3 linked regions of the Elephas maximus indicus genome follow. The protein of the gene in region 1 purifies or fractionates together with the protein of each later gene. This does not show direct contact. Links are inferred from orthologs where the notes say so. Each region holds a gene or a part of one and is shown on either strand. Other genes may lie near its edges.

Region 1 (3,748 bases):
TCCACCCATCCCACGTCCAGCTGCCCGGGGTCAGAGTCAGGTGGAGCACAGGTGTGTCCTGGGTGGGCTTTTGACTTAGACATTGAGAATCTGACTAGCTATGATCTTTTCCCCCTATAAATTGGGCCCAGACTGAGGTCCCCTGCCATAAACAGCTGTGGCCACCACCCATGTGGCCTCCTGAACCTTGGGACTCTACCCTAGGCTGAAGTGCTGCCCAGAGAGACCAGTGCTGTGCAAGCAGCAGGCCTCATAAAGCAAAGAGACTTGAAAACAACTTCACAGGGCGGCAGGTCACTTGCTGCCATAAGAGTGCACAAAGAGGCAGGCCCTAGAGCATCAGGTGAGGTTCCCGCTTATGGGTGCAGACAGCAGGCCACGGGCCTCAGCTCCATAACCCCTTTGTTCAGAAGAATCAACCCAGGGGCCGTCCTAGGTGTGAGCAACAGCGCCAGGGGACCTGAGAACGCTGCAGCACTGGGCATGCTGGCTGGCATCAGCCTCTAGCCGGTCTTTGTCTGTCCCCAGGACCTCACCCGGAAGCGCTCTTCCAGCAGGGAGAGCTCGCTGATGAGGTCTGTGATGGCATTGGTGAAGGCTTCCTGAGGGCTGTAGTCCGGTGTGGTCTGCACTCGGATGATGATCTTGTGCTCCAACGGGTGGGGGACTTTGTAGCCAGCAAACAGCACCTGTGGGTCCTTCAACAGCTGTCTGAAATACAGGGGTGGGAGGTATGCCAAGTGCCCTTGGGGCCCTGGCCCAAGCCAGGCCAAGGCTGCCAGGCAGCTCACAGCTCACTAGGCTGTCCAGCAAGAAGCCCATCTGTTAGGCTGAGGCCTGTTAACAAATGCCTCTGGGGGCAACCCCAGGGGTCCCCTGCTCTTCATTTGTAGTTTAGTTTTCCCAAAAATCTTCAGGTAAAGCAGATGCTTTGTAGAAGATATACCATGTGAGGATACATACACACACCTCCTCCTTCCCTCCACCACTGTCAAACCTACACCCACAAGGATCAAGGAGTCTAGCTGGGGAAACAGGGCTTCTAGAAACTTCCTCAGGGGAAGTCAGGGACCCCGCAATGCCCCTAAAGAGCCCTCAAGGTGATAAACACCAATCATATCCCTGACTACCTGGCCAGGACATCACTGAGGTAAACAAACACCCACTGAGCACCAGGTATCCACCAGGGGTACCAGACAACCACAAAACACCTCTCTCACGTCTTTTCCTTGTCCTACTGAAATTATGATCTCTGCCACACACATTGTAGAATGCCAGGTTGACAGGCCACTGAAGTCACCATGACAGATAAGAGTAAGGGGACTGCTTCTCGATGCTTACGATCACAAAAGCACAAGTAGGCATTTCCTACTTTTCCAGGCGAGTACTGTGGCTCGCTGCACACTCACTTTGTCAGACAAATGAGCCCACATAAACACGTGGCTTGTGAACACATAGGGGTCAGAGTCATTCTGAAAAAAAGGTGCTGGAATTGTGCAATGGCATAGGCAAGCACCCCGAGGGACTTCTTGTCCCTCCCTCTCAGACACCTGAAGAATGTCTTATGGAACTTGTGCTTTGCCCAAAGCCCTGTTAAATACAGTCCTTGAGAGCCCTTGACCTGGAACTTACGATTTAATAATGTTTCCTAGTGTGTGGTCTTCTTTGTTGATGGTAAACAAGCAGGCGTTGGGAACCTTGGTGTCCTTGTTAATGGTGATCCTAGGAAGAGGCAGAGGCAGCACATGAGGGGCAGGAGCTCTCCCCAGGTTTAAACCCTGTCCTTCAAGGCAGGCTCAAGTCCCTCCTCCTGGAAGCCTTCCTGGGTCTGTTCATCCCATAAAGACCTCTGTGACTCAGAGCAGCATTGTGTCTCTACCAAGACTCCGGCTACATCCTGGCTCTTAGGACCCCTGCCTCTCTGGATTCCTTCTTTCTTCTAAAGCAGGGCTTCTCACTTTGCAACACTGACATTTTGGGCCTGATAATTCTTTGTTGCAAAAGACATCAACAGCATCCCCTGACCTCTGCAGTAGATGCCAGTAGTAACCTCCCTTGTGAGAACCAAAAAATGTAGACATTGCTAAATGTCCCCTGGGGAGCAAAATGAACCCCAGTCGAGAACTACTGCTGGCTGGTAAGGGCCAGACCACTGAAAGTCCTGCATACCAGATTTTTAAGGGTAAGAAGACTCACTGTTTAATGACGGCCTTCTGGGCTAGGCACTTTACACACTTTCAATTACTTCATTTAACCTTCCCTAAGAGAGAACCCTGTAAGTAAATACAGCAATAAACCCATTTTACAGACGAGAAAACTGAGCCTCAGACAGGTTGTCACTTATCTAAAGATACAGAGTCGGTAATCAGGGGATCCAGGAACCAAGCCTGGGCTGTTTGACCGTTAGACTACATTTGCCCCAAACCTGCAGGAATCGCTGAACGTTTTACATGGGCGAGTGACAGATCGGATATGAACTGTAGAGCCATCACTGGCTGCAGCAAGAAGGAGGTGGCAGGCGGAAAGGCGAGTTGAGGGGACTGCCAGAAAGATCCCAGAGGAGCAGGACTTGGAGGCCCCGCCACTTCCTGGGTCAGGGAAAGTCCCTCAACCTCGCTGAGCCTCAGTCTGCTCATCTGCAAAATGGCTAGCCTCCCCACTGCCCGGAGTTTGGCAGACACGGGCTTCGCCCCAGAATCTTCAGGAGCCGAAGGCCGAGGGGCCCGCGAACCTCGGCCCGGCCCTGCCCCGCAGCGCCGGCTCCACTTACTTCTTCTCGCCCTCGAAGAGCAGGAACGACTCGAAGGCGGGAGGCGCGTTCATCTTAACGCCACAGTCCCGCCACCACCGAAGCCCCACAACACAACCTCTCCCAGCACAGCGTCTGCTTCCAGGTGATGTCGGCGGCGCCAAAGCCGAGCGCGGAGTCGGAGCGACTCATCGCCCCCTACCGGACCGGAGGACCTTGCGCAGACGCGAGAGTTGCCGGAGGCCGGGCGGGGGGCGTAGTGAGGCCGGAACCCGGCTGGTCGCTGTGCGCATGCGTGAGTCTGGAAGGTACATTTGACCTGCTTACAGGTGGGTTCGCTGTGGCGAATGCTCCGGTTCCGGCCCCTAGGGACTGGTATTACTGAAACAGCCTCGTCCAGGCTAAGCGGGTACCTCCGAGCCGGAACCCCTTCCCTTCCCCCTACTTCTTGATCCCTGTATGGAAATATGTCCTTGGAGTACCCAGCAAGAGGCGTTTGGAGAATGGGGTAATAATGCCCATGGGGTAGTGGACAGGTGTGGCCAGCAGCAAGTGGCGGGGAGGGGAGCTGAAGGAGCCCCATGGGCATCTATCCTTTGAGCCAGACCGTTGTGTATGAATGAGCCCCCTGTCAAGGCTGGCTGGGCAGACTGGTAGGTTGTCACTGGCTTACAAAGTTTGGACTTAGTGAGCTCTTTGTTAGGCTAGGTTGTCACTGGCTTACAAAGTTTGGACTTAGTGAGCTCTTTGTTAGCAGGGACAGTTGGGTGAGGGCTGGGAGTTGGGGGTGTGGCCGGGGGGGTGAGGAGGCAGGTGTATACAGGCATGAGAGAGCAGTTCGGTGGGATAAGTGTATCATACCCTGTATTGATTGGTTGGACTTTGAGAGACTACAGCCCAGTATGAAAGCCCAGCGTGAGTTGTTTGAAACATTCTGAGGTCTCAGATTAGCTGCTGGAGTCCTAACAGCTTCACTCTTTGTCCACGGCAGGGCAGCAG
Region 2 (3,748 bases), on another chromosome or scaffold:
TTTTTTTTATTAACTTTTATTAAGCTTCAAGTGAACGTTTACAAATCCAATCAGTCTGTCACATATAAGTTTACATACATCTTACTCTGTACTCCCACTTGCTCTCCCCCTAATGAGTCAGCCCTTTCAGTCTCTCCTTTCGTGACAATTTTGCCAGCTTCCCTCTCTCTCTATCCTCCCATCCCCCCTCCAGGCAAGAGATGCCAACACAATCTCAAGTATCCACCTGATATAATTAGCTCACTCTTCATCAGCATCTCTCCCCAACCAATGACCAGTCCCTTTCACGTCTGATGAGTTGTCTTCGGAGATGGTTCCTGTCCTGTGCCAATGGAAGGTCTGGGGACCATGGCCACCGGGATTCCTCTAGTCTCAGTCAGACCATTAAGTATGGTCTTTTTATGAGAATTTGGGGTCTGCATCCCACTGATCTCCTGCTCCCTCAGGAGTTCTCTGTTGTGCTCCCTGTCAGGGCAGTCATCGATTGTGGCCGGGCACCAACGAGTTCTTCTGGTCTCAGGATGATGTAGGTCTCTGGTTCATGTGGCCCTTTCTGTCTCTTGGGCTCTTAGTTGTCGTGTGACCTTGGTGGCACTTTCTTTTTAGTACTTTCTTTAATCTGTGTGTTCACCCAACTTCTCTCTCCCCAGCCCTTACTTTTCTCCTGAAAATGAATCCTGCATTTCTAACTTCCATTTATTCAACTGCATGTGGATTCAATTCTTATTTTTAAAACTCCAAATCTTCCCAATTTCACTCATGGCTTCTCTGTTTCAATCTATGGTACTCACATTCTCCAGATACTTTTAGAAAGTAGTACTCCTCAATTTAATAATCTCAATTCCTACTATCCTTGAGGAAGGCTCAAATTCCTTTGACTAGCACTCAAGACTAAACTCATCTTACTTCAATTTATCTTTAAGGCCTTACTAATTACTATTCCTCTATGCAAAAGTTATGATCCAACTAAATGGGTCTCCAACACGTCTTTAAAAAACCATTTTTCATATTGTTTCCTTTTAGGAAAATTCTTCCCAATTTTCCAAACAAATATTAATTCTTCAAGGTCTACCTCAAGCCACATCTTATTCATGCTATCATTTTGGACAACATGGAACATATTTTGAAAACCACCATGTAGTTCTCAATATTGTTCACTAAGTTACTGTTATTTGCTGTGTGAGAGGCATGAGCACAAAGTAATGAGACTGGTCTTGACAAAAAATACAGTCACATTACTTTATCCTTAAATCACATCTTTTGGATCCCCAGCCAAAATAAGTTCTTATAAGCAAGGACCAGTTATTATTAATTTCTCTCCCCTTGCCACTACACGCCCCCCCCACTTAGCATTTGCACAGAACAGGTGTTCAATCACTTGTCCACTGATATAAAAAGGTACACTCAAAATGAGTAAGGCAAAAGAAAGGTTAAAGAAACTCCTGGTGGGCATCAACTACTAACTAGCCAAAGGGAAATTAGATTCTTTAAGCTTCAGCTTTTTCACCTAAAAGATGCAAATAACAATGCCTGCCGAAAAGGACCATTCTAAATAAACTTCCAAGTACTGCACCAAACGCAAACCCTGAACCATTTTTAGGAAGCCATAAACCATTGTCAGGGTCAGAACCCGGATACAGACTGGAGGTTGGTCGTGGAGATGCACCAGCCCACGAATTCATGCCATCCCAGGAGTTGCCGATGCTCAGAGCCCTTCCGGCTTTGAGCAACTGTGCAGTGGCACGCGTTGCCTAGGTTACCTCGCACCTCCGCCGGCCGGCTTATAGCCACGCCCATCATCCCCTCTCCATGATCTGATTGGCTAGTTTAGGCCAGGCTTACTACTCACCTGGCAGTTCCCGCATTAGGTAGAAAGGGCCACAACCAGCCGCTGACTTATCGGCGCCAGGAGGGGCTGTGGCTGCGGAAGGAGGCGGGGCCGTGCCGGGTCCTCCGCCCGGCGGAGGAGGAGGCGGAGGCGGAGGCTTTCCGGGACCGAAGCTGAGTGCGGCTGGAGGCGGTGGTGGGTCAGCCTGAGCTCCAAAGAGCGCTGTGAAATTCTCCATCGTCCCCTCTGCCCCGACGGTGCCTCGGCTTCTGGCGTTGATTACTTTCATTGGACAATCCCTTCACGGGGCAACGCCCTCCACCTCCAGGAGCAGTTTATCACTGGATGCCCTAGGCCCCGCCTACGTTCTCCCCGCAACTACTTCCGTCGCTTTATGCGAACGTCCGGGAAATGCTATGTAACCGTATTAATTCTTCTCTGATATCTCCACCCACCGCAGTCAATATCCAATAACATGACTTAAATGGAAAGAGCGGCAGGTAGATTGACCAATAAAGTGTCAAATCCCTTTTTACCTACCAGCAGATCCAATAGACATCTATTTCCGGGTCAATAGGCGGTGCATCCGAGACTTGGTCCAATGGGAACTTCAAGTGGTGTGGGGGCGGGTACCAGACCTGCATACGCCGGTGAGCAGCGGGCGCCGCAAGGGCCGAAAAGATGGCGGTCTTGGCGCCTTTAATTGCATTGGTGTATTCGGTGCCTCGACTTTCACGATGGTTGGCCCGACCTTACTATCTCCTGTCAGCCCTGCTGTCCGCCTCGTTCTTACTCGTGAGGAAACTGCCGCCGCTCTGCCACAGTCTCCCCACGCAACGCGAAGACGGCAACCCGTGTGACTTTGACTGGGTGAGCGACCCCTGCCTGGGACCCCGCGACCTTGAAGCTCCTTGCCCCAGCGGCCACATTTGGGAGTCCCAGGCTTCACCTTTTTGAGGACATCTGAGGTCCCGAACCTGTCACGGACTTATAGGCTATTAGAGCGTAGGGCCCGGACCGTCATTGAGTCTAAGATGGGAGTACAGGAAAGAATGACGTCTCGGAGTTGTACAGTCCGTTAGTTATAGAGCCTGCCCAGCAGCCCAGACTCTGGTCCAGGGTTTTTTCCGTCTCACTATTCATATTCGTTAACTGCCCTGCCAAAACTTTTACAACGTTTTACAGTTTTTAAAGCTCTTTGCTGCATGTGATGTAAAGCCTCTTATTTGGGTAGATGAGGCAAGTAATAGTATTTATTATGTTTTATTGGTGTAGAAATTGGTCTCAGCATGGTTAGGCGACTTGTCCAAGGTCATACAACTACTGAGTGGCTGGCCTTGAAACCACTCTTCTGTCCATAGTACTTGCACAGTTTCTTAACAACAACAAAAAAGCTGCCGTCAATTCCGACTCATAGTGACCCTATGGGACAGAATAACACTGCTGTCGAGTCGATTCTGACTCATAGCGACCTGATAGGACAGGGTAGAACTGCCCCATAGGATTTCCAAGGAGCAGCTGATGGGTTCAAACAGCTGACCTTTTGGGTAGCAGCTGTTACTCTTAACCACTGCGCAACTGGGGCTCTGCATATTCTGTTAGTTATTTCTGAGTTTTGTAAACAGTTCCAGAGTTCATATTGGCGTTTGGAACCCACCGAGCGCGGATCCATGGGAGAAAGACCTGGCGATTTGCTCCCGTAAAGATTACAGCCTAGAAAACCTTGTGGGGCAGTTCTGCTCTTTCACATGGTGTCACTATGAGTTGAAATTGAACTCCATGGCACCCAATAGCAACAACAACATACAATGTACCAGGCACTATTGCTGGGTCCTGAGAGTGCAAAGACAAAACTGTTAGGCTTCATGTAAAGGGAACGTGAAAAGTACGTTGGAAAGCAATATAGAAAGCCTCTTGCTG
Region 3 (3,748 bases), on another chromosome or scaffold:
CTTTTTTTTTTTTTTACTAAGACCAATAATAAGTAGCACAAAGTGAAAACACTATCCCTTCCAAAAAAATTCACATAAAAATTATGCATAAACCCATTAAAAAAACCAAACCCATTGCCGTCGAATAAATTCTGACTCGTAGTGACCCTACAGGACAGAGTAGAACTGCCCCATAGTTTCCAAGGAGCGCCTGGCGGATTCTAACTACCGGCCTTTTGGTTTGCAGCCATAGCACTTAACCACTACGCCACCAGCGTTTCCTAAATTATGCATAAGATTAGAATAATTCTAAATAAAAACCAATAGATCCACTCCTTCCTCTCTTGAGCCACTTTCGTAGTTTTACATTTCAACTTACAGACTTAATTTCTCTCACTTTTAAGAATGATTGAGAGCCCTGGTGGCACAGTGGTTAAAGTGGTCGACTGCTAATCAAAAGGTAGGCAGTTCAAAGCCACCCTCAGCTCCGAGGGAGAAAGATGTCGCAGTCTGCTTCCGCAGAGATTTACAGTCTTGGAAACGCTATGGGGTGGCTGTAAGTCAGAATCGACTCAATAGCAGTGGGTTTAAGGATGATTACTCAAATATGATTTGTGCCAGACGGGGTAAGTCAGCACAACATTGTCAATGAAAGCTAGGCCCTTGAGAACTAGGCTGGGGGGAACCTTGCAAACTCGCTGGCCCCAACACACATCAGGGTTTGTGTTCAACTCTTTGGTCCTCACAGACTCTCTGCAGGTGAGGAAGGCCTAAACCACATGACAGCAAACAATGTTTCCGCAAACCAAAGGATAACATGTCTCTTTTCTTTGAACTGGCCAACCTCTTTCTTGTTTCAGGGTCTTCACACATATTGTCACCTCTGGCTGTAAGTCATTCGTCACTAGTCTTTGTCTGGTTAACTCCTACTTAGCCTTCAGGTCTCAGTGTAATTATTACTTCTTCAGAGAAGCCTTTCCCTGAACCCCACAGCTACTCTCCCCTCCAGCTCCCAGCTAAAATGTACTCCCATTATTAGTTCTTCCTCATAACATCATAGCCTTTTCCTTTATAACACTTCTCACAATTTGTAAGTATACAATTTATAAGTATACCTTGTGATAATTTAATTGGTGTCTCTCTATTCCACTAAACAAGAACTATGTATGGTAGGTCTACCCTGTTCAACATCATATCCTCAGGGCCTAACACAGATCTGACATATTTTACACTTGGTAGATAATTTTTGAATGAATGAATAAATTAAGACTAAAGCCAATACAAGATCAGTGAGCCTTCATAAAGTGAGAAATTCTAGATATATATTTTAATCCTCTTCATAGGCTATGCATATTCTAGAAACCTTCTGAGACAGGTGATAATATTTTGCTTTTTTAGGAGAAGCCAAGAGACAGTACAAGACAACTTTTTGATGAAAATCTGGAATGGATGTAAACAAAGAACAGAAAAGGCTTCTTGGAGTGACAAAATGAGAAGGTTGCACAGTAAGTCTCTGGCATAGCAGTAATGAGTGAGTGTACCTGAAGAGGTGGAAAAGGAGTACCAGGTTAATACAGGCATGTTTATTGTCACAGACTTCTTTCTACAGATACTCATTAGCAGCCTAGAAATCTCTGGTTTGGTTTGAAACAGTCACTGTGAGAATTTATAGTGCTTCCCAGACTTCTACCTTCCCTCTCACAGTAACTTTCTCTAAGGTAGTACCCATTACGGTTTCAAAAAACGGTTCAATTAATATGAGATAGATAAATGAATGCAGTTCTCCAAGAAGTTCTCGTACCTCTTGGAAGCATCTTCTTGTTTGGAGGCACTTGTGTGTTTGGTACCTACGATTAAAAAAAAAAAAAAAAAGTAGGTCAAGTCTGCACAAAGACATTAGGCACAGGACAGATTCCTGTCCAAATAACTCAAACCGCAGGCCATCTTTTCCACACATTTCATTTCTAATCCTGTACGTAAACCAAAATCAAATGGGAAGAGAATCCAACTTACTTTTGTAAATTAATTATTCCCTAATTTTTCTTGGTTAAAATGTTATCTCTTTTGATTTCTCATGTATCAGAGTTGCAGGAGTCCTGGTGGGACAACCGTTAAGCGCTTGGCTGTTAACCTTGACAGTTCGAACCCACCCAGCCTCTCCATGGGTGAATTTGCTTCCGTAAAGATTACAGCCAAGAATACCCTATGGAGGCAGTTCTATTTTGTCAAAAGGGGCGGAAATCGACTTGAGGGCACCCAACAACATCAGAACAGCTTACTTACGCCCTTCTGAAAATCTGAGTTTTGGAGCAACCTTTTCCTGTCTCCTTCCTGTTGGCCCTCTGGCGGGGGAAAAGGGTCGGGATTGACACCTCAGAGAATCAGGGCACCACAGCAGCCGCACTTCTGTAGCACACTGGGCCGGGGTCCGAAGTCTGCTGCGCACGGCTTGCCGTCGCTGCCCTGGGCACTTGCCCACCTCTGAGGCTGGGGTCAAACCACGACGGGAAAAATCTTGGCACACTCCTGTAAAAGGGTCGGAGTCTGCCCGGGAGATCTTGCCCAGAAGGTGCAAAGGCGAGGGTGGGGAGCTCTACGGTCTCCCCATAGGAGACCCTCTCCCCTGGGTCAGTCTTCCGGGAGCTCCCCGCGCGCCTTGGTGTGGAACTCTGCCGGAGCTCAGGTATTAGGGCCCAAACGTGGCAAAAGACCCTTGTTCCTACCTGCGGCCTTACGGGAGGCGCCGGGAGCCCGGGCCTTGCGGCCGGGAGACAGCTGCCCGGCCCAGTCAGCCATGGAAATGCGTCGTCAGAGCGGAGAGCGGGCGTCGGCGTCTCTCCCCGAGGCCCCGCCTCTCTCACGTAGGCGGGGCGGGGCCGGGGGAGTAGGCTGCGCGGCCTGCGGAGTGGAGGAGGGGACTGAGAGCGGCCGGAGGCTGGGCGGGTGAGTGGACGCGCGGGGGGAGCCCGGGTCGCTGGGCCCGCGGGTGGGTAGTGAGGGCGTAGGGCCCGGCGCCGCGGGCAGACCGGGCCCGCCAGGTGATGGGGGCCGAACGCCAAGGACAGCAGGAATCGGGAGAAATGGCTTCCCTTGGATGCCACCAGCACGCGCGCAGCGGTTTAATCCGCCCTCCAGCGCGCCGCTGTGAGGACCCCGCAGACCCGCGCCGGTAGTGCAGGGCTGGGGCCGGGCCTTCCGGCTGGGAAAAACGATGGTCGATGAGACCGGTTCTTCCGGGGACCGCCGGTGGCCTGGTCTCCAAGTAATAAAGTGATTACAGTGACCAAATTGATTATCTTGGCGACTGCAACTCTTAGAGAGCAATGTCACCGCCAACCCTTGGGCTGGAGGGCATCTGAAGTTTCACCCCATTTGAATGAGTTAAATGTGTTGCTCTCAAATTTTTGTCAGGTGGGACATTAAAAAAAAAAATTCCTAAATGATTATAACTTGGATTTCAGGCCCATCTTTTGGGAATTTTTTCAAAAAAGACAATTTCACTTTATTTAAAAAATCCTTTATAGAGTTCATATTTGCCCTATCTCTTAAGAGTGCTCTAGAGGAGTTTTTTTCCTCTTTCAAAATAATACTCCTAGAAAACTTAAAAATACAACAGAAAGAAAAGCAACATCTTTTAAAAAAATTTTTTTTTAATTTTCTTAAAGCTAACACATTAACTTTCAGTAATAACATTTTTAGCTTTGAAACGTTCCATTTTTTAAATTGTGTGTGCTAATATTATTTTTTTTTTTAATAATGCAACAGAATA

Evidence for each region.
Region 2: the proteins of POLR2J (region 1) and MED19 purify together in Homo sapiens (affinity purification with mass spectrometry; 3 studies listed by BioGRID and IntAct, with this or other methods). This does not show direct contact. The link is inferred for Elephas maximus indicus from reciprocal best matches to the Homo sapiens genes POLR2J and MED19.
Region 3: the proteins of POLR2J (region 1) and RPAP2 purify together in Homo sapiens (affinity purification with mass spectrometry; 5 studies listed by BioGRID and IntAct, with this or other methods). This does not show direct contact. The link is inferred for Elephas maximus indicus from reciprocal best matches to the Homo sapiens genes POLR2J and RPAP2.

The regions. Positions count from the first base shown.
Region 1 is NC_064830.1:93,971,712-93,975,459, forward strand, and holds the start of POLR2J (DNA-directed RNA polymerase II subunit RPB11-a), read right to left. Parts: upstream 2,913-3,748; 5' UTR 2,824-2,912; coding exon 2,771-2,823; intron 1,723-2,770; coding exon 1,633-1,722; intron 712-1,632; coding exon 537-711; intron 1-536. UniProt on the Homo sapiens protein: Core component of RNA polymerase II (Pol II), a DNA-dependent RNA polymerase which synthesizes mRNA precursors and many functional non-coding RNAs using the four ribonucleoside triphosphates as substrates.
Region 2 is NC_064825.1:119,109,930-119,113,677, forward strand, and holds the start of MED19 (mediator of RNA polymerase II transcription subunit 19), read right to left. Parts: upstream 2,166-3,748; 5' UTR 2,118-2,165; coding exon 1,850-2,117; intron 1-1,849. Other genes in the region: TMX2 (thioredoxin-related transmembrane protein 2), read left to right, coding at 2,510-2,698. UniProt on the Homo sapiens protein: Component of the Mediator complex, a coactivator involved in the regulated transcription of nearly all RNA polymerase II-dependent genes.
Region 3 is NC_064821.1:149,946,680-149,950,427, forward strand, and holds the start of RPAP2 (putative RNA polymerase II subunit B1 CTD phosphatase RPAP2), read right to left. Parts: upstream 2,836-3,748; 5' UTR 2,776-2,835; coding exon 2,703-2,775; intron 1,827-2,702; coding exon 1,781-1,826; intron 1-1,780.